3 linked regions of the Danio rerio genome follow. The protein of the gene in region 1 binds, or shares a complex with, the protein of each later gene. Links are inferred from orthologs where the notes say so. Each region holds a gene or a part of one and is shown in the gene's direction. Other genes may lie near its edges.

Region 1 (8,334 bases):
TGACCCACACAGCCACACACACACAAACACACACAAACACAAAGCAATTCCAGGTATGCCCTATAGCATTAAAACTTAAAACTGTCTCTTTCTTTGAAGATAATTTTTTTTCTCCGTAGATTCGATTTTTATTTAAATAAACTGCATGTTAAAATATATTTTAAAGGAAGTTTTATCTTAATGTAAAATTAAATAAAATAAATTCACAAATAGGGCGTCACTGTGACGCAGTGGGTGGCACGGTCGCCTCACAGCAAGAAGGTTGCTGGTTCGAGCCTCGACTGGGTCAGCTTGCAGTTCTGTGTGGAGTTTGCATGTTCGGTTTCCTCTGGGTGCTCCGGTTTCCGGAGACATACCACAAAGACATGCGGTACAGGTGAATTAGCTAAGCTAAATAGTCCATAGTGTATGTGTGTGAATGAATGTGTATGGATGTTTCCCAGTGATGGGTTGCAGCTGGAAGGGCATCTGCTGTGTAAAATAAATGCTGGATAAGTTGGCGGTTCATTCCGCTGTGGTGACCCCTGATTAATGAAGGGGCTAAGCTGAAAAGAAAATGAATGAAATGAATAATATGTACAGTTAATTAGCCATATTTGTGATTAGATTATAACATTTGCATGTGCAGTACGGAACAAACGTTCCACTATTTATGCGGGCCCCCGATTTTGAAATTAAATAATAACATTACAATCTCAATTGATATAGATTTTAAAAAATATGATCGAACATTTGTAAAAGAGCTATATTATTAATTTAGGCTGCTTGGCATTGTTCAGGGCCCCTTTTACTGGCCGCTTACCTTACCTCATTTATTGGGTAAATTTGCCCCTGATTGCCAGCATAGGCTATTTTGAAAGTACTTGACATTTCATTTACGCTTAAATGCCAACCGACACAGCCAAGACTCGAACCAGCGTCAGCGACCTTCATACTGTGAGGTGACAGCACTACTCACTGCGCCTCTCAGTATACATATTCATTCTTTTCTTTTCTTTTCTTTTCTTTTCTTTTCTTTTCTTTTCTTTTCTTTTCTTTTCTTTTCTTTTCTTTTCTTTTTGGCTTAGTCCCTTTATTAATCAGGGGTCACCACAGCAGACAGAACCACCAACTTACCAGCATATGTTTTACGCAGCGGATGCTCTTCCAGCTGCAACCCAACACTGGGAAACACCCATACACTCTCATTCATACACATGTACTATACGGCCAATTTAGCTTATTCAATTCACCTACACAGGGAAAACATGCAAACTCCACACAGAAACGCCAACTGGCCCAGCCGAGGCTTGAACCAGCAACCTTCTCCACTGTGACACCATGTATATAAATAGTCTTTTTTTTTTTTTTTTTTTTTTTACATTTTCCTTATTCTTACAATACTTTTAACTAATTTTCAAATATCACAGACACTAAAATAACTCCTATTTATTATTATTGTCTACATAATCTTTTTTTTTGTCTAACTTATTATCATAAATGTAACAATTTGTGCTAAGGAAATAATTATAATTTTTTTTAAATTAAGGCTGAAATTAAAACTTTAAATAAAGCATAAAATTAAATGTAAAGAAATATAAAAATTAAAAAAACAATTCAATATAAAAAATAATTGTGGACTGGAGTTTTTAAACTTTTTATCAGTCTTGGACATGTGAAAGATTTGTAACAACATTGCCTTTGATGTATTGTTAGTTTTTGTGCAACAGAAGGTTTTCATTTTTTCTCTCCCTAATTTACTGTTCTTGGTTGTTTTTGGCCTATTGACTTACATTATAACCAATTTTTTTGATTGCAAAGCCATGACACCATATAATTATGCATTTTTGATTGTCGAGGTAAAATTTTTAATTTTTATAAGAATGTAAAGAAATTTAGAAAAATCAATAAAACAAATGAATATTGAGTATTTTATTTACGCTCCTACATACACACCCACAATAAAGGAACAGTAACATTAACTAATTTAAATATAAATGTATATTTTAGCCACCAATGTTGCAATAGTTTAAAAGTGACAGTAATTTATAACAAAATATTTTTAATTAGATGTTTCTTTACTCACCTAAGATTTTTTTCAGTCTTTTTTATTAGTCTTTTGTCTGACAATACAAATTAAATAGTGAGAGGTAACGGTAATGTATTGTCCATGGTTAATCCCATCCCCTAACCTCTCATTCATTAACTCAATTAACAAAACAACAACATCAAATAAATAAATAAATGCCAAAATAAAAAAATTGAATACATGACAAAATAATAATGGAGCCTCGACTGGGTCAGTTGGCAGTTCTATGTGGAGTTTGCATATTCTCCCCATGTTGGCGTGGGTTTCCTCCGGGTGCTCCGGTTTCCCCCACAAGTCCAAAGACATGCAGTACAGGTGAATTGGGTAGTAGGTTAAATTGTTCGTAGTGTATGTGTGTGAGTGAATGTGTATGGATGTTTCCAAGTGATGGGTTGCATCTGCTGCGTAATGCTGGATAAGTTGACGGTTCATTCCCATGTGGAGACCCCAAATTAATAAAGGGACTAAGCCGAAAATAAAATAAATAAATGAATAATAATAGCTGGATATAGATGGTAAAAATAATAATAATTAAAATAATAATTATAATAATGAAAAAAAAAACCTTCTAATAAAATGGTAGAAGTTACAGGTTGCCAGCAGCAGATGTAATAGGCAGGCCTTTGGTGTAACTTAGTCAAGAAAGGAATCTCAACTCTTATAAAAGGAATCTAGTGAGCCAGAGAGTGAGCATCTCAGCTTTTCAAGTCTGATACAGTAAAAAAGTCCTGGATCCACTTGAAGATTTATTATTCTGATTTAAAAATGTAACAATTTAAAATGAATTCAAAATAACACAAAAGCTGACTCCACCCCGCGCTGTTACGTCACGTCTCCCCTCGCCATGGAAACTAAATTGCGCAACATAAACAAAAGTTTCACGCTCCTGCCGCTCGTTACGTTAATCTACTGTTTATCAGTTAATTTAGATTAGGGACGTATATTCACTTTTATAAACAGTAAGTCTTTAAACTGCTAACTGTAAAAGTAACAAGATGTATGTGTTTAATGTTTCAGTCATCGACCTGCTTTCTCCTCTCTCGTCTGTCTGTATAATTATTGCTTTATTAATTCATTAGATGGAAGTGTTACCGGAGATGGAGAGTGAGGAAGACGCGACTCTGACAGATGATGAAGAAAAGAAGGGGTTTCGGGAACTTGAAAGCAGCCTTAATAATAACATACGATTGACTCCAGACCTTCCACACATGTGAGGTTATTAAAGTTCATCAGCATGTGGCAAACTCGTGTGTTCATGAAAGCTCGCGTTTCTCCACAGGGGCTTCTCGTAAATGGACGCTGGCTGTTTACAGTGTTTGTAATCATTAGCCATAAACATGAGTGGTGTATCAACTGTGGGCTAGTAGACCAAAGTCAAACTGTTTCACTTTAACAAAAAAACTACAGGGTACATTAGTGCACAGAGAACAGGGTCGCGCTTGTTGTTTGTTTTACACTATACTTGTTTGTCTTTATCTGTGCAAAACGTGTTAGGAACATGTCCAGGTCAGTGTTATTTTAGGTCACTCAACAAATAAATTCTCCATATAACAGGTTTTTATGATTAGGATATTTTCTGTTATTATTGAAAGATTTATAAATGTTAAAAGAAAATCGAATTAATATTGTGTCCCTTATGTATGTTAAGAATGTTTTCATCCACTCTGGGGTGATTTTGAGTCATAATTTGGTCATAACGTTCTCTGTGTTTCAGCTAGCAGAATGGTTTTTGGTAATAAATCTTTATTTGACATATTTTGGAGAAAATGCTTTGAAATTAAAAAACAAAAATAAATGTACTGTTCTTTTTTATATTAGTGATGAAAACATCCAATGAAATAAACTGATGTAAAAGTGCATCAGATTAATATTTTTTCTTTATTAATTTTTGCATAAGTCTGTTAATCAACCTCAGTCCTGATCAAAACTACTAAATTGCTTATAAAATTACAGGATTTTAACTCTTTAATTGCCAAATTCATAAATGATGTCACTGATATGGTGAAAACCCCCTACAAAATTACTTATTTTCTATATAAAAAGTAATTGTACACTGGATTTTTAAAAAAACATTTAATCACAGTCTTGGACATGTAAAATATTATTAACAACCTTGCCTATTATTTAATGTTAGTTTTTGTGCAGCAGAAGATTTTCTCTCTCCCTAATTTACTGTTTGTGGCTGCCCCATTGACTACCATTAATCACATTTATTAATTGCAAACTATGACATCATATAATCACGCACTTTTGATTGTTGGTGGTTTTCCCTGTTGGGAAGAGGTCAAATTTATTTAATTTTTATTTATTTACCTTGATGCATTCGTTATTTAATGTTTGAATACTGAAACAAATAACAGACATCGCTTAAAAGGTTATATTTTACCATCAAAATGCAGTTTATTTTATATCTTAATAAACTTTTGATATGAAACTGCTGTGTAATTTAATTGATTGTTAAATATGAAATTATTTAAGTGCTATATAGTTTATTAGTGAAAGTGCTTATTAGTGAAAATATATTTCTGCCACTATAATACAAATGCACTATTATTGTTACATTATCATTGTTTTGTTTTCTGTTCTGTACGGATATTTGAAATATATTATTTATTTCCCCTCCAATCATTTTCATTCATCACCATACATTTTGGTCGTTTTTCACTCCAAGTAAAGCTTGCCCAGAGCCTCGCAACATTTGACCTCTAAATAAATAGGGGTGCTGTGACTTGTAGCCCAAACAAGAGAGCGGCATAATGTAAGTGTTAAGTCATGCGGTTGCTTTCGCTTTTACATATTAAAATGAAAAAAACTAGTGTTGGCTATTATTAAAATTTCTTTGTACAAAGGGAGCCGTTTACATTACGTTACCAAGGCAACTACTGATGTGTTTTATGTAACATTTCAAAGAGCTTTGTTGCAGCACGACAGTGGAAAATGAAACCATATCCGTACTGTCTGGTCCAGTTTGGCATGGTTCCACATAAAGAACGGTTCAGCACCATAGTGGAAAAGTGGCTTATGACACTATATAATGATGTGTTGGGAAGAAGTAAAGTTTGTCATTTCTAAGGTTGAACATCAGTTGGCACCATTAACACTTTAGATAGATTTATATGGCATATAACAGCAAATTAAAGTGTGTATTTGTGTCTATGAGTGTGTGACCTTACCTTGGTGTCTCTGTAAAAATCAAAATATGCATTTCAGCTCTCCGAACTACATGGAGTAAACAAAAACAACGCCTGTTTTTATGCACAAGGTTTAAAAAATCCAGTCCAACTCCTTTTTTTATTGAAAATAAGAAATTTTATGTTTTTCTTTCGCCAAATCAGTGACATCATTTATGAATTCTGCAATTAACGAGTTAAAATCTTGTATTAAAAAAAACATTTAGTAGTTTTGATCAGGACTATGGTTAGGACAATAGTTTATATATAACAATGGTTTGTTCTGTAGACTATCGAAAAAATAGCTTAAAGGGGCTAATAATTTTGTCCCTAAAATGGTTTTTAAAAAATTAAAAACTGCGTTCATTCTAGCCGAATTAAAACAAATAAGACTTTCTCCAGAAGAAAAAATATTATCAGACATACTGTAAAATTATTTGCTCTATTAAACATCATTTTGGAAATATAAAAAAAATTCAAAGAGGGGCTAATAATTCTGACCAATTGTACATATACTCTTGCTTTGTTAAAATAATTTAGCCTTCAACTTGCAATTTATCTAGTAAAATGTGTGATGTTAAAGACGAAATAAATTACTTATTAAAACTAAATGTTAAGAAACTCATTTGAAAAAGATCGAAAATTTCACCTAATACTTTTGTGCTGTGTTTGTGTGTATATATATACATATATATATACAGTATATATATATATATATATATATATATATATATATATATATATATATATATATATATATATATATATATGACAAGAAATTTAAAATTAAATAAATTAAAATCATAATTAAAAATTTGAAAATCATGATCAATAATATTTCAAGTTTTTAATATTTTTCTTAAAAAAAGTTATTTGTGTTTATCACTCTCATCGTTTTATTATGTTTAGTATACGATACAGTTATCCTCTCTGCTTACGTTTATTGTTATACTTATTTATTGTAATACAGAATGAAACCAAGAACTCCAGTTGATCTTTCAAGATATCCGTCTTCATACAAGCAGAATTCCTCACAGGAGACGCTCATGCTGGCCATGGCGGAAAACTTCCGTCAGCAGTTTGTGCTGTTGTATCCTGATAGAAAAGCACTTCTGCTGAGTCCTGTAAATGAGTGTGGTGTTCAGGTACATACAGCAAATCTGACAATTATCCAGCTTTATAGGCAATCTGAATATCAAGACAAATGAGAAGAAGAAAAAAAAGAAAAACACAACCCTGCAGCATGATGAATAATTAATATAGGTTATACACTTTTAAGTGCATTTATGTAGATGGGTCAAATGTATAAACTGATTAAAAATGCTTTATATCATATCTTAATTATAAATGGAAATATATTTGTTAATTTATAAATAACTATAATGTTTATAGTTAAGTATAGAATAAATGATTAAGTTTGAATTGTGTGTATTTATTAATTATCAAATTTAATTATGATTAGTTTAGTTTTAGACCTACTGTAAAACTTCAATTTTGGAATATGGCAAAAAATAGTATTATGCATTTATTAAATTGCATATAGTTAAAATTTAAATGATATCCATTATTATTATTTTAAATTATATCAATTATTTATTTATACATTTCTATAAATGTATTTTTACAGTTGGTAATTAAAAACATTCAAATTTGGTTACAAGCTATGATTAAGACACAAATATTATTAAGATACATTACTGTATTAAGCATTATTTACAGTAAAACTGCTGAACTATAATACATATAATTTCCCCCCTTTAATTAAAGTTATAAATTGTTATGAATCTATAAATTGCATGTTAATAAATGAATGTAATAAAAAAAAATCTGACTTTAAAATCTAGAATAATACATGCAAATTGTATTATGAGTTTATGCCTAAACTGCATATTTATAATTAACATCATAGACTAATTAAATAAATAAAAAACTTATTGATTCATTTTTGTAGATAATTTTCTAATAACAAACTGTGAAATACTCATGAATCATATTATATAAAAATGTATTTCTTCACTATATTTTCAGAAGTTTGTAAGCACCACCTTGCGAAGCTCCTTACTTCCATATCCTGAGCTTTACGATTGGGAAGGATGTGCCAGTTTTGTGTCTGATTATCTCTCACTGGAACTTTTGGATCCACCATTTGAACTTGTATTTTCCTTTTTTTTTTAAAGTTGATCCATCTTGACTTGTGCTTTTTTTTTTGCATCTCATACTCAAAAACATGTTTTTTTGATTTCATTTCTAGCCCAAGCAGCTGTCCTCCCCAACTCGAGTTCTGCAGACTCAGAGAGGCACGTGTTTTGAGTTCTCTATGGTGTTGTGTAGTCTGTTGTTGGGTGCAGGATTTAATGCTTACTGCGTCAGTGGATACGCCACTAAAGAGATGTGCCTGCTTGATCAGTCCCGACAGGAGTGTCCCTTGCTGAAGCCTCCAAAACAGGTATCTTCCGACTGATTCCAAGCCGAATAATTAAGCGCATCTTCTGTTAAAAAAAAAGGATAAACACTCACTGGCCACTTGATTAGGTACACCTTACTAATACCGGATTGGACCCCCTTTTCCCTTCAGAATTTTCTAAATATTTTGTGGCAAAGATTCAACAAGGTATTGGAAATATTCCTGAGATTTTGGTCCATGTTGACATGATAGCATCACACAGTTGCTGCAAATTTGTCGGCTTCACATCCATGAGGCGAATCTCCTTTTTCAACACATCTCAAAGGGACTTTAATGGATTGAGTTCTAGTGACTGTGGAGACCATTTGAGTAAAGTGAATTCATTGTCATGTTCAAGAAACCAGTCTGAGATGATTTGCACTTTTTGACATGACGTGTTATTCTGCTGGAAGCAGCAATCAGATATTGTTGATGCCAAATTCTGACTCTACCATCTGAATGTCAGCAGAAATCGAGACTCATCAGACCAGGCAACATTTTTCTGATCTTCTATTATCCAATTTTGCTGAGCCTGTGCGGATTATAGCCTCAGTTTCCTGTTCTTAGCTGACAGGAGTGGCACCCAGTGTGGTCTTCTGCTGCTGTAGTCCATCCGCCTTAACTGTCGACGTGTTGTGTGTTCAGAGATGCTC
Region 2 (8,309 bases), about 5.1 Mb from region 1:
AAATTGTGTATTTTATAAACTGATCGTTTATAAGGACTAAGCTATTAATAACTGTAATTCCTCGAATGGAAAAAGTCTTGATTAAAGAAAAAGAGAACTTAATTCGACATATTCATATAGTGCGCTTATTTCTGCCGAATTACCTTTTTTATTTTTTTGCACTATAAATGCATCTGGCAGCACCGAAAAGAGCAAATGTCAAGTTATTAGCGCAGCGCACAGACAGCTAGCTCGTCTAGTCTGAACCAGGGGTTTTCAAACTATTCATTGCACACCGATCCCATTGCATTTTATTTAGGATAAACCACTTATTTAAAATTAATTAATTAAAAGGTGCGTACTCTCCAATACACCACTGAATTATAGTGTCATAATATTTAATAATTATAATTAAGATAGACACCTGACCTCCATTTAATAAACAATTTATTTGCCATACTCTGTTAATTTGAAGTTTAAAGTTTAAATCATTTATGTTAAACTTAAATTATTTAAAAACTTAAAAAGACTTAAATTTAGTCATTTAAGACATTTTAGGTCATAAGTTTACATACATTGACCGTTGCATTTAGTAGGCCTATTCTGGTCTAAATAAGCTTTTTGCATCTTAGGTGTTTACACACACAATTAAGCAGTTTATACGTACATTTAATGTTACTTTGAAATTACTTTTGATGGAATAAATAATCCTAAATAGTTGAAAGTGTTAACATATTCTTGAAATGTAGTTATTTTATAACTATGAAATTTATTACTAAACAAAGTGAATCATTATGAATTTGCCAAGAAATAATCCACTTTACCACTGTAAAGCAATGCCCCACACTCACTAGAACGGTAGAACCTGGACTGTATGATATGTTCTGTATGTAAAATAGAGAAAATAAGCAAGATGCGCAGTCTCATGCTGCCTTAGTGAAATATAGTGCGTCACAGCAATGAACTAAAAATAAAACCACCCTTGAAATGCTGGCGATCTTAATTTTTTCAGCCTACACTGACTGAGAATAATGTTGCACTATTTTATTAACAAATAATTAGAATGTTTTTTTTTTTCCTTCAACACATTCATCATTACTTTTGCCTGTGCAAGTTTTTTGCACGCGCTTGAGCGCAAAGGCATCTATTTTCAGGTGCAAGATGCCACTTTGGGTGGCACCAGCACACTCTGCCACACCTGTGGCTATGTCTCTGCTACAATAATAATAACAACAATAACGACAAAATAATAATAAAAAATAATAATAATAAGACAGGCCTACTTTGACGTTGCAATAAAAAAGTATTAATTATCAAATAAATATTTACAATAGGCTAAAGGCATATATTAAATTAAAATAGGAGAAAATCCAATAGAAACAAATGGTACCATTTATTATAGCCCCATGCAGGGTCCAATGTGTTCTTACAACCATTGAATAACTAAGTAAATAATAATAATAACAATACTAATAATAATAGGCCTAATAATAATAATAATAATAATAATAATAATAATAATAAATTATTATTTTATACAGAGTAGGCTATTATTTAGGCCTACAATAGCTCTGAAACAATCATGTAAACTAGGTGCTGCTCGGAAATGGCTATCTTTGCTCAGCATCAGGTGCACAGCAGCAAGAAGCTTGGCAGTGAACTATGACCTTATTTTAATGACAAATGTCTAAGAATACTGCTGATTTACGTTTTTATTTAATTTATACATACGCAATGAATGTAAGCCTGCTAACTGTGTGTGGTTCAAATGATAGAATATGTAAACTTTGTTTATATATATAATTAAATAATAATAATTAAAAGCCTGCGTGTAAGGCTTTTATTTTGAGAGTGACGTCACGAGCGCAGATTTGGTTAACCAATTAGAGGAAAGTGGGCGTTTCAGCACCGCCTACATGTGTAAAAAGAATTTTAAAGTCGTTTATCCGTTTTCCTACCCTAAACCAAAAAAACGAAAAACCCAGCCAAAATCTCGTTTTTTCGTTTTCTCGTGAGCAAAAGAAAAACGGAAAAACGTCCGTTTTCTCCATTTCCTTTATTCCGTTTGAAAATGAAAAACAAATGAACAAAACGTACACGGACCTACACGGACCTTTTAAGCACTAGCTTTATTTTTGTCATTGTTATCCTATTGTACTTTTAATTTTATATTTTCCATTTTTACTTTTAAGTTGTAGTTGAAGTATTAATAATTTTAATTTGTACATTTTTTATTTATCTGTTTTTTATGCCTATATAGCTTGTCTTTATTTTAGTTTATGTTAGTTGAATTAGCAATTAGCTAAATTTTTCTTTTTTAAATATTTCTCAAATGATGTTGAACAGAGCAAGGAAATTTTCACAGTATGTCTGATAATATTTTTTTCTTCTAGAGGAAGTCTTTGTTTTATGTTGGCAAGAATAATATCAGCTTAGAATTTTTTTAAAAGCCATTTTAAGGTAAAATTATACTATAATCATCCTATCTGTCTGTCTATCTATCTATCTATCTATCTATCTATCTATCTATCTATCTATCTATCTATCTATCTATCTATCTATCTATCTATCTATCTATCTATCTATCTATCTATCTATCTATCTATCTATCTATCTATCTATCTATCTGTCTATCTGTCTGTCTGTCTGTCTGTCTATCTATTTATCTATAAACTGTTATAAAAAAAATATTATAAAAGTGTGTTATACAATTGCTTAAGAAAACTTTCTTTAATAAAAGTATATACATTTATTGTTCTGTGTTTATTGTAGTTTACTTTTGGGGTTATTTCATGTGACCAACCAATTGTTCAGGTAACCAAGTAACATGAAAGGTAAATGTTGACAAAAGTGTCTCAGGTTATTGTTACACTGACAGCAGGAAATCATCTACCATTCACAGTGACTCTCTCACCGCTTTTATAATGGCATTTTTGCAAGATTCAGATGCGATTTTTAGAGACTACATTATTAAACATTCACTACCTCAGATTTACAAGGTGATTTAGGTTTGTTTTTAAAATAATTTTAGTTTATTTTAAGTTGTAACTTTATTGATTTTACATTTGAAAAAATATTTTATTTCATATTTCAATGTATTTAAAAAATATTTTAAAAATTTAACTGTATTTTGATTTGAAGTGGTTCTTGTTGTTGTAGTTATTGTTGTATATATATTATTCCATTTTATCTAGGCTTTACTTTCTGGCTTATGTGTCTCATGTCCTGAAGATCCTTTACACTTTATGGAGGAAAAAATACTATCAATCCTACAGGATCAAGATTTTGAGATTGTCTGGTATGTTGGCTTCTTTATATATTTGTTTCATTAAACTATAAATAAATTGTGCCTTTTTATTGCAAAATCAAGTTCAGGTTAATATTCCTAAACATGTTTTTTTTTATATATTTCAGGCACACATTTATTGACAAAGACAAACAAATCTCCTCATTGGCAGGAGGCATTGTGAATTATATTTTTGGATATCCAGAAGACAGCCTGGTAAAACTCTCTTTGTATGTTTTTATTCAGAGTGAATGTTTATAAGCATAAACTCATTTCATTTTCCTCCCTCATAGAATCTGTCACATTTGCTGGAGAAAGCTTACACTTGTTACCACACCAATCTGACCAAAATGTGTTTCACGTAAGTCTTTAAAGTACAGAATAAATTATTTAAAAGTCAGCTCTTTTAATATCTTGTCTTTTCATATTAAAGGGGTTGGAAGAGTTACATCTGGCAGAAAAAGATGAAGGCTGCCCGGCTCCTTGAAAGAATGGAGGAGGCTGAGATGTATCACACACAGAGAAGGATAAAACTGGCTTTCATAAAGTGGACAGCATGGGTTCAGTTTCAGAAACAGCGATGGAAAGGTATTTAGCTTTCATGGTCTATAATACAAACAGATGATATTGGAGATACTTTAAATATTTCAGAAATCCCAGTCAAATTTAGTTATACATGTGCCCCTGGATGCTTGATTCTGATTCCTTGAATATTGTGAATTGAAAACGGGAAAACTCACCTATGAAATTGTACAATAATTATGTAATCTGTAAAAAAAATAATAATTCCGGTTATGAACATTTTAAATTATAATAAATAATAATAATTGCAAGTCATTTTTGGAGAAAGATTAAGTAATCCAGATAAAATGTAACCCATTACTGTCAGCAGGTACTGTTTATTACAGGCCCGCTAAAAGCACATGTTGGATTGTCAGAACACTATTATATATTTTGTACTTATGTACTTACATTATGCCAAAAGTTTTGTTTAATGTTCAAATAATAATAATAATAATATTTGACATCATAAACCCTTCATTTTTGAAAACTTGATGATTACACACACGATCACGACATCCGCAAACTAAGCCTTTGTTTGTTGTGAATGGACGCCCTCTAGAGCGGAGAAAATTACTTAATGTGCCTTTGAATGCTTGATCATAATTGGCTATAAATTGTGAATCAGTGAGACTGAGATGTTGAGGTAAGTTTCAAAAAAGTCTTTATAAACCTAAAAGATCAGAATAAACTGGAGGTTTCTTAGACTTTTTTTTCAGTGTGTTGATGTACAGTACTTCCAATTTAATCTAAAAGCAGGTACTGAGTAGAGGGCAGTGCTTTTTATTCCCTCATAGCAAACTAATGGTAGAGGGGCATGGTTAAGAATGTTGTGGCTGAAGCCATCATTCTGACATCAACAGAGAAAGACCCCCCCCTCCAAAAATCAATGCAAATGGTCAGATTTGGACTGAAGATTTGTTAAAGTACTAGCACTCTACTTGTTGTAATGATATAATCACTGAAGGGTTTGACATTTTGATTCAGTGTATTACTGTACTTTAATGATGACGTCATGTTTTTTTTTTACATGCTTTACGTTTCCATGTTATACTGTTGTTGTTTTTTTTATAAGGAAGTTTTACCATCTCATGTTCATACTGTACAGAGAGAGCACGTGAAGGTCAGAAATAAAAAGGCACTGCTAAAAACGATTCATTCTGTCTAATGATTAATCTACGCACTCAAAGCTCAACAAGATTACTCAAACAAACTTTTTTTTCAGTGGATTAATTGTTTACCCAAAGAATTACAATGTGCGATATGCAAAACAAACATTGTAAATTTTGATTTCACTCAGACTCAGAAAGCATACATCCATAAAAAGGCCTCAAGGTACAACACTGTGTTCTTAACAACTTTAATAAGTTAAAGAATTATAGCATTTTTCAATTTTTTTTGTCATGGGTTTCTCAATGCAACTCTCTGATTGATTTTCTGATTAAAAAATAAAATAAATAAATAAAAATGCTGAATTTATATGAATAAATGGATTCAACAAAAGGTAAAATTAGCAAACTAAAATATTCCGGAAGTCAAGGACAGCTCTTTCAGCTTATCTTCCTTTGTAGAGGATGAATAAATAATGGCAATAATGGCAGAATTTTGTTTTCTTTTTGGTACATTTAAATACATTTAAATCTCACAGTACTTCACTTCATAAGCTCTAAAATAACATTTTGCAAATAAAGTAGCAACAGAGACTTGGGATGAAATGCAAAATCTAGTGTCAAAAGACGGACACATATCTTGAAATAAAATCAGCACAATGTCTTTAGTAACCATTGTATAAGTGGAGTTATTTGTAATATATGTTACAATAAAGTTAGTAACTACACTGAAAAAAAAATTTAATCATTGGATTTACTGAATTGTTTTAAGGTAACTGGTTTAAACAATTTATATGGGCTCATTTTAAGCAAACAAATTAAGTTGAACATTACTAAATGTAATTTGTTTGTTTAAATTCTGCCCATATGCTTTTTTTTTACTAGTTTGCATGTTACCATATAAATTTAGTGTGTTATTATTTCTGTTCTCTCTATATATCATGAAACAAGGCATTCTTTAATTTATCTAGATGCAGAGAGGAAACTACAGAAGGTTCAAGAGTCTGTACACTGCAGAAAAATCATCACGGCTTGGCGTCATGTTGTGCAGGACGCTAAAAGAACAAAGGAATACTTTAAGGTATAATTATTAAAACAATCAGCTAAACCCAAATGCATTGAATTCATGAGATATTCAGCTATTATACATGTCTGTTCAGAAACTAGAAAGAGATATGAAGGAAAGCCAGAACTCAGGCATACCACAGGGTGATGGACAGGACAATCTGTCACTGCTGCCCAACAGGCTGTTTCTCAAGGTATCATTTGACTACCACTAACTGTTAAATAACTGGCAAAAACGTACAATCAGCTGTGATTGAAATGAACCGTTTGGTGCAGATCTTCCAAAGTCTAGGTGTGCGAGACCTGCTGAAATGTGCTCAGGTTTGTCAATCATGGAAAGCAATCACTCAAATCAGCTCACTGTGGACTGAGGTTAGTGCAGCTGACCTAAAAACTGTCAAATTTTCCCTTTAGAATTTAGAAGTGCATGTTTAATATTTGTATACATAAAATCTTTAAGAATATAGTAAAAGTATATAAGAAAATCAACAGATTTGCCCTTTTTTAAACACAATGATGTTATATTAATAATTATATTAAAGCATATTGTGTACTTGCACTTGAAAGTGTTGTTTCATTTGTGACAATGCATGAAAATATAAGATGCTCATTAAATACAAGGCAGATTCAATGAAATGTCAGTTAGTAATGCTTTAACATCACCCTCATTGAACCCTCATGTTCCAAATTTAAATTACCTTCTTATGTGGAATTAAGGTAAAAGCTAACAAGATTTATTTCCCATTGAACTCACAGACAAAAAATATTATATCAATTGGAAATCAAAATGAGGAAATTTTTATGGTAAAACTTAATGTTGTCTTGACAAAGATTTCTAAATTTTTATGTTGTTAGATGTTAGAGAAATTATTAACATGAATTAGTATGTTTGTAACATGATTTAGCATGTTGTTTATTTTATAACAAGCACTATTACTGTATGTTGCTAGCTAGACTTTTGTTTGTGTGCCTCTCACATGAATTAGCATGTTGCTCGCATATTTCAAACAACAATCTACATGTTTCAAACTTAAATATATGTATCTAACATGAACTGGCATATCTTGTTGTTAGCAATTAGCATGCTGTTACCATGTTTATAATTTAAAATACCATCTTTCTAATATGAATAAAAAGTATTAGTATGTTAACTATGCTTTATTAGTGAATTTGCATTTATGCTTCTAACAATAAGCTAGCTGCTAATGTAAATTCCACTATACTGTTAGCACAAATTAATTTCAAGCATAAAGTTGATAGCAAATAACATGTCTCCAGCATAAATTACAGTGTTATCCAGCAAGCATGTTTCTTGCATGGTTAGCACGTTGTATGCTAGTTGATAGGCTTTTCTAGTTTGCAAGTAGCTTAAGATCTGAAAGTTAAAGCCTGGCAATGAAAGTCTTTGGGATTTCTTTATTTTGAGGATCATTTAGAAGTTATATTGCATAAACATGTTGATCAGAATGACTGTCTAATGTGAGTTTGGTAGTTTAAGCTTCAAGTTTTAGGAATACTTTAAGACCAGACTTTTATAAATGTTAACTCAGAAGAAGACGAATCAAAAACTATCCTGTAATCGATTTTTTGACGTGTTTTTATGCAAATGTAAGATGTCAATTTGATGTTGTTTTGACAATAAGGTACTTTACTGTACATGCATTGTAAGGATACAATCTACAATCTACAATATAATCCAGTGTAATCATCAGTGTGTAGATGTCAAATGGACGCATTAGCATTGTTGCTGAGTTTTTTAAAATGTTGTTTATGTCGTTTTGACATAGTGTCGTTTGCTAAGTGTGCTAAAGGCTTCATATACAGTGTAACCTGTGAGATGTATTTCCACAGATTGATTTCTCTCCAGAGAGCAGCTGGATCACAGATCAGATGGTGGAGAGAATCCTGCGGCTTCACCGTGTTTATGTGATCTCTGTAAACCTGTGTGGTTGCAACATGGTGCAAAGACTAAGTTTCAGACGCATCAGTACATTTACCTTCATTTACCAAACAACTGCATTTATTTTCTGCTTTGTTAACCTCATAAAGATACAGAATACTTTTGTTTTTAAAGGTCAATGCAGGAATCTTCAAGAACTGGATCTCAGTGAATGTCCAACTGTTAATGCAAGTATACAGTTCATAGTCTTAGGAGTTTTCTGCTTATTTAATTTTCGGCTCTTCAAAACTGGCGTGTGTTTTGTTTGAAAACACACTGACAGGATGAAAATATGAAGATGATTTTAGAGGGATGTCAGTCTCTCCTCAGTCTTAATCTGGCCTGCACTCACATTGCCAACGCCACAATA
Region 3 (8,564 bases), on another chromosome or scaffold:
GCAGTATTTAAGTTTAAAGGTACATTACTTAAAGGTACAGTACCTTTAAGTTTGAGGTTTGAAGAAAACAGTAAGATTTTCAGTGTAAAGGAACAGGAGATAGAAGTACAGTCCGCAGGGGGTTATTATTGTGTGGTTCGAAAAACGCCTCTCAATGGCAAAGGTCCAGAGTTTGTCCCATGAGCTTACTTGTCTAATTTTGACTGCTTCACCATCATAAATTGTGAAAATAACCCATTGAAAACGTCTTTAAGACTAAGCGTAAATCTCTGTTGACTGTCACATTAGTATGACTTCAGCTAATCAGTTTTTGTTCAAGGCAAACTATTATTTTTCATGAGTCCAACATCCAGCTGTGCACCAAAAGGGGCCCAAATTAAAAATGAATTTGAATACTAATTTGGCTAGTGCTGGTATCCATTCATTTTCAATCAAATGTACTTTTTTACTGACAACTCACAAAGCTCGTTTACTATAATTTTGTTCTATTGTGCTACCCACTGCACCACTGTACTGCCCTAAATTCATATTTCTTTATTCTAAATCTTTGGGAAATACTTTGGTAGCTCTACGTTAAATAGTGTGGCTATGATGATCAGCCGGCAAGCTAATACAGCTAAAATGCAGTATTTAAAAAAAACGAGGCAGATAACTCCAAAAAGGTCCACAATTTAGGAAGAAAACAAAACTTACATCAGTGTTTCTCAACCACGTTCCTAGGACCACCAGCTCTGCATTTTCCACCTCTCCTTAACCAAACACACCTGATTCAGATCATCAGCTCATTAGCAGAGACTACACCTGTAATGGGTGTGACAGACAAAGGCGACATTCAAAACATGCAGTGCTGGTGGTCCTCTAGGAACGTGGTTGAGAAACTCTGCCTTACACCTTCCCTGCTTAAAAATAAACAAGAAAAACAAAATACAAAAAAACAGCATATACTCTATGTTTTGATGCTGGTCTTGCTGGTTTCAATACTGGTCTAGCTGGTTTCAATGCTGGTTTTGGTCTCAATGCTTGTCTTGCTGGTTTTAATCCGGTTTTGGGGGTAAGCTTAAATGAGTAATGAAACAGTGATAGAAGTACAGCTCCATGGCCAGGGGGTTATTTGGTGGTTAGAAAGACCCTCCTCAATGACAAAGGTCCAAAGTTAGTTTGTCCAATGAGCTCATTTGTCCTATTTTGACTGCTTCACCATCATAAATTCTAAAAAAAAAAAATAACCAATTGAAAAAGGCTTTAAGACTAAGTGGAATCCTCTGTTGACCGTCACATCAGTGTGACTTCAGCTAATCAGTTTTGTTCAAGGCAAACTATTATTTTTCAACATCCAGCTGTGCAAGAAAACACAATCTGACATAAGAGAAGTCATCCTTTACTACTGGATTGTTTTTAAATAGAGAAAACATTTTACTTGTAACTTTTATTCTGAATCTTGTAACAAATATTCTTGAAATAAAAATAGCCAAAGCACTAAAATACTAATTTGGCTATCCATTAATTTTTAATCACATGTACTTTTTACAAGAGAGGCAAGACAAATCATGAAACCCTTTTATTATTATTATATTTTATCTTTTTATTTTTCAAACAGCCAAATTCTGACTGAGGAAAGTTGAATGTGCTGGCCAATTTGTTACATAAGTGACAATAGACAACAGTTTTTGTTTAAAACTTTAACAGATTTTTAAAAAATTATAATGAAATATGATGTAATAAATTTGAATATTAAAAATAAATATTTATTCATATTTCTTTATTCTAAATCTTTAGCAAATATTTTGGTAGCCTACTTTAAAAATTGTAGTTATAATGACCAGCCGACAAGCTAATCCAGCTAAAACGCAGCCTTACACTATCCCTGCTATAAAAAAAAAAACAAAAAAAAACCTAGCATACTGGTAAGGTATGTATTGTTGCTGGTATGCAGGTCTTGCTGATTTTAATGCTGGTCTTGCTGGTTTCAATGCTGGTTTTTACTGGTCTCGATGCTGGTATTGCTGGTTTTAATGCTGGTTTTGCTGGTCTCGATGCTGCTCTTGGTGTTTTTAATGCTGGTTTTTGCTGGTCTCGATCCTGGTCTTGCTGGGTTTAATGCTGGTATTGCTTGTTTCAATGCTAGTTTTGCTGGTCTCGATGCTGGTCTTGCCAGTCTCGATGCTGGTTTTGCTGGTCTCGATGCTGGTCTTGCTGGTTTCAATGCTGGTTTTGCTGGTCTCGCTGGTTTTCATGCTGGTCTTGCTGGTTTTAATGCTGGTCTCGATGCTGGTTTTGCTGGTTTCAATACTGATTTTGCTGGTCTCAATGTTGGTTTCAGCAAGACCAGCATCGAGATCAGCAAAACAAGCATCCATACCAGCAAAACCAGCATTGAAACCTGCAATACTAAATATGTCTTTATAAGCATATGTTACAACTAAAACTCTGTCTGTCACAACTTGCCCCACAGGTGGGGTAAATAGTATTTTTTACTCCTGGCACTTTTGGCAATGCACATACGTCCGGCGATCATACAACCAGTGCTCATTTGTAGGAGAGGCTTGTGTGTTGTTGGTTAAAAATATGGTTTGTCTAACCATATATTTTATATTTGGCCAAAACCAAAAAGTGTTACACGTCCCCCGCTCTCCCCATACCACATGTTTTTGGACTTATGGGGGAACCCGGAGCACCCAAAAAACACACTTACGAAAACACAGGGAGAACATGCAAACTCCACATAGAAACGCCAACTGACCCAGCCGAAGCTCGAACAAACAAACTTCTCGCTGTGAGGCGAACTACCCACTGTGCCACCGTGCAGCCCAAAACTGAGTATTGTAGACAAATCTACTGATTATAAATCTTAAAAGGGTTACCTATAAAAATACCTAGAAGTCCTGAACATTACCAATGAACAGCATGTTTAAGATAAAGAAAAACAAAATAAGTCAAAATGTCAAAATAAGTCAGTTTTGTCAATAAACCACCTTCTAGCAGACAAAAAATGCATGGAAAACTGGTCAAAACATGATGTTCATGAACGTAAATTAATTCAGTCTGTTGTAAGAACAGCCAGCAAACGGAGCGGATCTGTGTGTACAAGACGTGCTGTCATGACGACGGACGCTGTTGCTACAGCTGCACGTGTAGCGTCTTCTTCACGGCTGATTTGCCTCTTTGTTTAGAAGGATTAAAAGAAAGAAACCTTTTAATTTTATTTATATATTTATCTAAATTTCTATATAGCCCAAATCAGCAGTATGACGTCCGTGGAGGAGCTCAGAGCGTGTGCTTTGCTGCAGGATTGCGCTGATCAGCTGTCAGTGTTAGGAAATATTATACGCCCCGGAGCGGAGACTGTGAGTAACAACATCAAATTTAGGACATTTAGTAATCTGCTTCCTGCTACATTTGCTCGGTTATGCCCGATATGCTTGTTAAATTATGTTTTATATTTAGTGTCATGGCCAATAATTATTGGTGAATTAAACAAAGTTAGGATTTGTTGGTTGATAGGCTATTATATGATGTTGTTGCGTTAAACATTATTTTAAACAGTTTCAAGTCATGAAATTATTTTTAGTAGGGTAGAGCGGGGCACAAAGTAACACTTTTTGGTTTTGGTCAAATAATTGGTCAAATTCACAGCTGTCACATCCATAACGACACTTTTTTCTCATAATGCAAAAATGTCAAATAAAATAAAATCAATTCAATAGTTAGCCGACTCATATCCGTTTGATTATCATTGTTTCTTTTGGGTTGTGCAGTTTAATTAACAGAATTTCTACAAAGTCTTATGAAGACTAAACTCCCAAACATACTAAACTCTCATATATATATATATATATATATATATATATATATATATATATATATATATATATATATAGCACATTATGAGGAGGTAGCACTGGTGATCATTTAACCAGTGCTCATTTCTAGGTGAGGCGTGTGTGTTAAAAAAAAATCAAAAAAATTATATGTATATATATATAGTGCTGTAAAAAGCTAATGCGTGTACATGTAATTTGTGCATGTGTTTAAATGTGACATTCTGTAGTGCATAGTTATTGTCCAGTATGCCCACAACGTCATAAAAAAATTATATTATGTTTGATTTAGGTTGTGATGTCAGGTGACCAAAATTCTATGTCTTGCCAGTGTCTAAGGACGTTATTTTGATATCCAATAATGACGTCAAATGACGTTGATATTTTATCGATTGTAGCTTGTTAGAAAGAGACCAAAATCCACAGCTGAGCCAACATCTTAAACCAAAGTCATATTAACGTCAAATACTGACATTTATTCATCAGGTATGGCAACCAAAATCCAACGTCTGTGTCACCGACTCGGTCCCAGTCATTCCCCTCGCTGACCAGCAGAGGTCACCATCTCCGGACTTCTAACCATTACGTCATCCATTCACCCTGATCCCAGCACACCTGTTCTCCATTCCACTAATGACCCACGTACCACATATAAGCAGCTCACACACACACTTCAGTGCGAAGTCTTGTTTAGCCCCGGCCAGCATTTCTGAGCGTTCTATCCTGCCTGATCTCCCGTTTACCACTTCAGCCCGTTTCACGACTCTGCTCTGTCTTCTGCCTGCCCTCGACCAAAGCCTGTTTCCTCGGACTCTGATTCTCGCTGCCTGCCCTCGACCAAAGCCTGTTACATGGACTCTGAATCACGCTGCCTGCCTCTGACCCAAGCCTGGTAATCACTCTGCGTCTGTTATCTGCTAAACCTCCTTTGATGTGTATGTTGTATGTCCGCACAGCCGTGCGAGTTGTTGATGTTTAAGTGTGACTTAATAAATACTGCAAAATGGATCCCTCCATGTCAGTCTCCCCGTTACAGAAGACTTCGCCCAACACGGATCCCGCAGCCATCCAGGTTTTGTCTCACGAAGTCACAGCACAAGCTCAGGTATTGTCTACTTACCAACAACAACTAACACATCTAACTCAGTTAACAGACGAACTGGTGAAATCCCTACAAAACCTGCAAGCTGCTGCCACTGCGCAACCCACCGCCAACTACTCTCCAAGTCCACTTGTTGTTGCACAACCCCCGATGACTTCCGGAGTTCGATTGGCATTCCCTGACAAGTTCTCAGGTAACCCAGCAAAATGTAAAGGCTTCCTACTGCAATGTAAACTGTTTATCGCCCAACAGCCCCATCTGTTTAAGGACGAGAATGGGAAAATTGCTTTTGTGTGCTCACTGCTCACTGTAAAAGCGCTAGACTGGGCTACTGCAGTTTGGCCAGACAGTACCCCGATATTTCCCTCGTTTAATGACTTTCTCAAACGTTTCTGCACTGTGTTTGATCATCCGGAGGGTGGTCGCAACGCTGGCGAGGAGCTACTGTGCATCCAACAGGGAGATCGCTCCGCAGCTGAGTTCGCACTGCAGTTCCGCACCTTGGCAGCGCAAACTGGCTGGGCTGATGATCCGCTTACCACGCTCTACAGAACGGCTTTAAAACCAGAATTGCAGAAAGAGATGGCATGTCGTGACGAGGGAAAAACACTGGATCAACTAATCAAACTTTCTATAAGGTTAGACACTCTCCTCCGCACTCGCAATCCACTGTGCTCAATTGCTTCCAGTCCTGTATCCCCTGAGACCTCCGCTGAACCCATGCAATTGGGTAGAACCCGCCTGAACCCAGAGGAGCGAGAACGACGGAGAAGAAATCACCTGTGCATTTATTGCGGACTTCCAGGTCATACGAAGGTTTTATGTCCCCACAAGCCTCTCCCTAAAACCGTCTCGGTGAGTGCAACCACTATGTTCACTACCACTAATAATGTTATGAATTTGCCTGTCATTCTGAGAAACAATGGAGATGAAATTGAGACTATGGCCATGATCGATTCAGGAGCCGCTGGCAACTTTATTGATTACACGTTTGCCACCACTCACTCCATTCCCTTAACCTCCTGTGATTCCTCCATCGCCATCACTGCTGTAGACGGGCGCCCTTTGGGAGAGGGACACATAAAATTCCAGACTCAACCAATCTCTCTTCAAACAGGCTCTCTCCATGAAGAAGAGATTTCCCTTCTTGCCATCGAGTCCCCCAAGCACTCTGTAATTCTTGGGTTACCATGGCTACAACAACATGACCCTCAAGTCTCCTGGAGAACTGGTGAGATCACAAAATGGAGCAATCAATGCTTTACCCAATGTCTGCATTCTGTTTCCCCTGTCCAGATCAACACAATTACCAACACAGAAGACCCTGAACTCTGTCATGTTCCTGATGCTTATCATGATTTAACTGAGGCATTTAACAAACAGAAGGCTACCAAGCTCCCTCCACATCGTGAAAATGACTGTGCCATCGAACTACTACCAGGCACCACGCCCCCTCGTGGCCGCATCTTCCCCCTCTCTCAACCTGAAACTGAAGCTATGAAGAATTACATCTCTGAGGAGCTAGAAAAGGGCTTTATCCGACCATCTACCTCACCCGCTTCAGCAGGCTTTTTCTTCGTCAAGAAGAAGGATGGCAGCTTACGCCCATGCATTGATTACCGAGGCTTAAATGAGATCACAGTCAAATACCGCTACCCCTTGCCATTGGTTCCAGCCGCCCTTGAGCAACTCCGATCCGCCCAGTATTTCACTAAGTTGGACCTCCGTAGTGCATATAACCTCATCCGCATACGACAGGGAGACGAGTGGAAAACCGGGTTCTCTACAATCGACGGCCACTATGAATACCTCGTTATGCCCTTCGGCCTAGCAAACAGTCCTTCCGTGTTCCAGGCTTTTGTAAATGAGGTATTTAGAGACATGCTCAACAAATGGGTCATAGTGTATATTGACGACATCCTGGTCTACTCAAATTCGCTATCTGAGCATATTCAGCACGTCAGGGCAGTGCTCGAACACCTCATTCAAAACCAGCTATATGCAAAGATCTCCAAGTGCGAATTCCATCAGACCTGCATTTCGTTCTTGGGTTACATCATCAGTCCCGAAGGCGTGGCCATGGACCAGCAAAAGGTCGACTCCGTGACACAATGGCCACAACCCGAAACCATAAGACAACTTCAACGATTCCTGGGCTTTGCTAACTTCTACAGGCGCTTCATAAGAAACTTCAGTTCAGTCGCTGCTCCACTTACCGCCATGGTAAAAGCTAACAACGCTCGCCTCAAATGGAACCCAGACGCTGTCCGAGCGTTTACTCAGCTCAAAACCCGCTTCTCCAGTGCACCCATTCTGCGTCATCCTGATCCCGAGCAACCCTTTGTAGTTCAAATTGACGCATCCAACACTGGAATTGGAGCCATCCTGTCCCAAAGATCACTAGTTACGAAGAAGCTCCATCCCTGTGCCTTCTATTCTCGCAAACTCAACTCCGCTGAACGGAACTACGATGTGGGAAACCGAGAACTCCTCGCCATGAAAGCCGCGCTAGAAGAATGGAGACACTGGCTTGAAGGCGCCAAACATCCCTTCACTGTCATCACCGATCACAAAAACCTGGAATATATCCGCTCCTGTAAACGTCTGAATCCTAGACAGGCTCGATGGGCTCTGTTTTTCACTAGATTCGACTTCCAAGTCACCTACATCCCTGGCTCAAAAAACATCAAAGCAGATGCTCTTTCCCGCCTCTCAGACGATGAAACCTCCGAATACAATGATGAACCCATAATCAAAGATCCTCTCATTGTCGCTCCTATCCAGTGGGACATCGAACATGAAATCCTTCAAGCCGCCGAAACCAGTCCCACACCACAATCCTGTCCTGAAGACAAGATCTTTGTTTCTCCGTCACTTCGAGAAAAGCTCATCTCCGAGATACATGACCACCCCAGTTCCGGTCATCCAGGCAGCACAGCCACTGTACAATTGATTCAATCCCGCTATTGGTGGTCATCCATAAACAAAGACGTCATCAACTTCATCAATAAATGCTCACCCTGCCAAATGTCTAAACACTTCCGTCACCGTCCAGCTGGATTACTCCAACCCCTGGAGGTGCCACACCGTCCCTGGTCACACATCGCCATCGACTTCGTCACCGACCTACCCATATCACAAGGCAAAACCACTATCCTCACAGTAATAGATCGATTTTCTAAATCCTGCCGTCTCATTCCCATACCCAAACTGCCTACAGCCATGGAAACAGTCGAGTTACTCTGTGAGTATGTGTTCCGGTACTATGGTCTCCCCGAAGACATCGTCTCGGATAGAGGTCCCCAGTTTACATCCCGACTCTGGTCAGCATTCTTCAAAAATCTCCAGGTTAATATCAGCCTAACATCCGGCTATCATCCCCAATCCAACGGGCAGACAGAGTGCTTGAACCAGGAAATTGGCAGATTCCTCCGCACATATTGTCACTCTAACCAGAGTGAATGGGCTAAATTTCTCATGTGGACAGAATATGCTCAAAATTCCCTAAGAAAGGCATCCACTGGATTAACTCCATTTCAATGCGTACTGGGCTTCCAACCTCCTCTCTTTCCCTGGTCCGGCGAGACCTCTGAACTCCCCGCTGTGGATACCTGGTTTAAAAACTGCGAAGAGGTCTGGAACGC

What was found. The genes of interacting proteins can lie anywhere in the genome.
Region 2: ccdc135 (region 1) and fbxl13 share a complex: the UniProt entries of both Homo sapiens proteins name them as parts of the nexin-dynein regulatory complex. The link is inferred for Danio rerio from reciprocal best matches to the Homo sapiens genes DRC7 and FBXL13.
Region 3: ccdc135 (region 1) and drc9 share a complex: the UniProt entries of both Homo sapiens proteins name them as parts of the nexin-dynein regulatory complex. The link is inferred for Danio rerio from reciprocal best matches to the Homo sapiens genes DRC7 and DRC9.

Annotation. Positions count from the first base shown.
Region 1 is NC_133200.1:14,659,932-14,668,265, forward strand, and holds the start of ccdc135 (dynein regulatory complex subunit 7), read left to right. Parts: upstream 1-2,921; 5' UTR 2,922-3,027; intron 3,028-3,147; coding exon 3,148-3,278; intron 3,279-6,208; coding exon 6,209-6,383; intron 6,384-7,266; coding exon 7,267-7,392; intron 7,393-7,489; coding exon 7,490-7,684; intron 7,685-8,334. UniProt on the Homo sapiens protein: Component of the nexin-dynein regulatory complex (N-DRC) a key regulator of ciliary/flagellar motility which maintains the alignment and integrity of the distal axoneme and regulates microtubule sliding in motile axonemes.
Region 2 is NC_133200.1:19,758,590-19,766,898, reverse strand, and holds the start of fbxl13 (F-box and leucine-rich repeat protein 13), read left to right. Parts: upstream 1-2,850; 5' UTR 2,851-2,903; coding exon 2,904-2,978; intron 2,979-3,173; coding exon 3,174-3,277; intron 3,278-3,393; coding exon 3,394-3,481; intron 3,482-3,558; coding exon 3,559-3,626; intron 3,627-3,698; coding exon 3,699-3,853; intron 3,854-5,906; coding exon 5,907-6,016; intron 6,017-6,095; coding exon 6,096-6,194; intron 6,195-6,276; coding exon 6,277-6,372; intron 6,373-7,851; coding exon 7,852-8,127; intron 8,128-8,222; coding exon 8,223-8,309. UniProt on the Homo sapiens protein: Substrate-recognition component of the SCF (SKP1-CUL1-F-box protein)-type E3 ubiquitin ligase complex.
Region 3 is NC_133193.1:29,335,130-29,343,693, reverse strand, and holds the start of drc9 (dynein regulatory complex protein 9), read left to right. Parts: upstream 1-3,105; 5' UTR 3,106-3,245; coding exon 3,246-3,344; intron 3,345-8,564. UniProt on the Homo sapiens protein: Component of the nexin-dynein regulatory complex (N-DRC), a key regulator of ciliary/flagellar motility which maintains the alignment and integrity of the distal axoneme and regulates microtubule sliding in motile axonemes.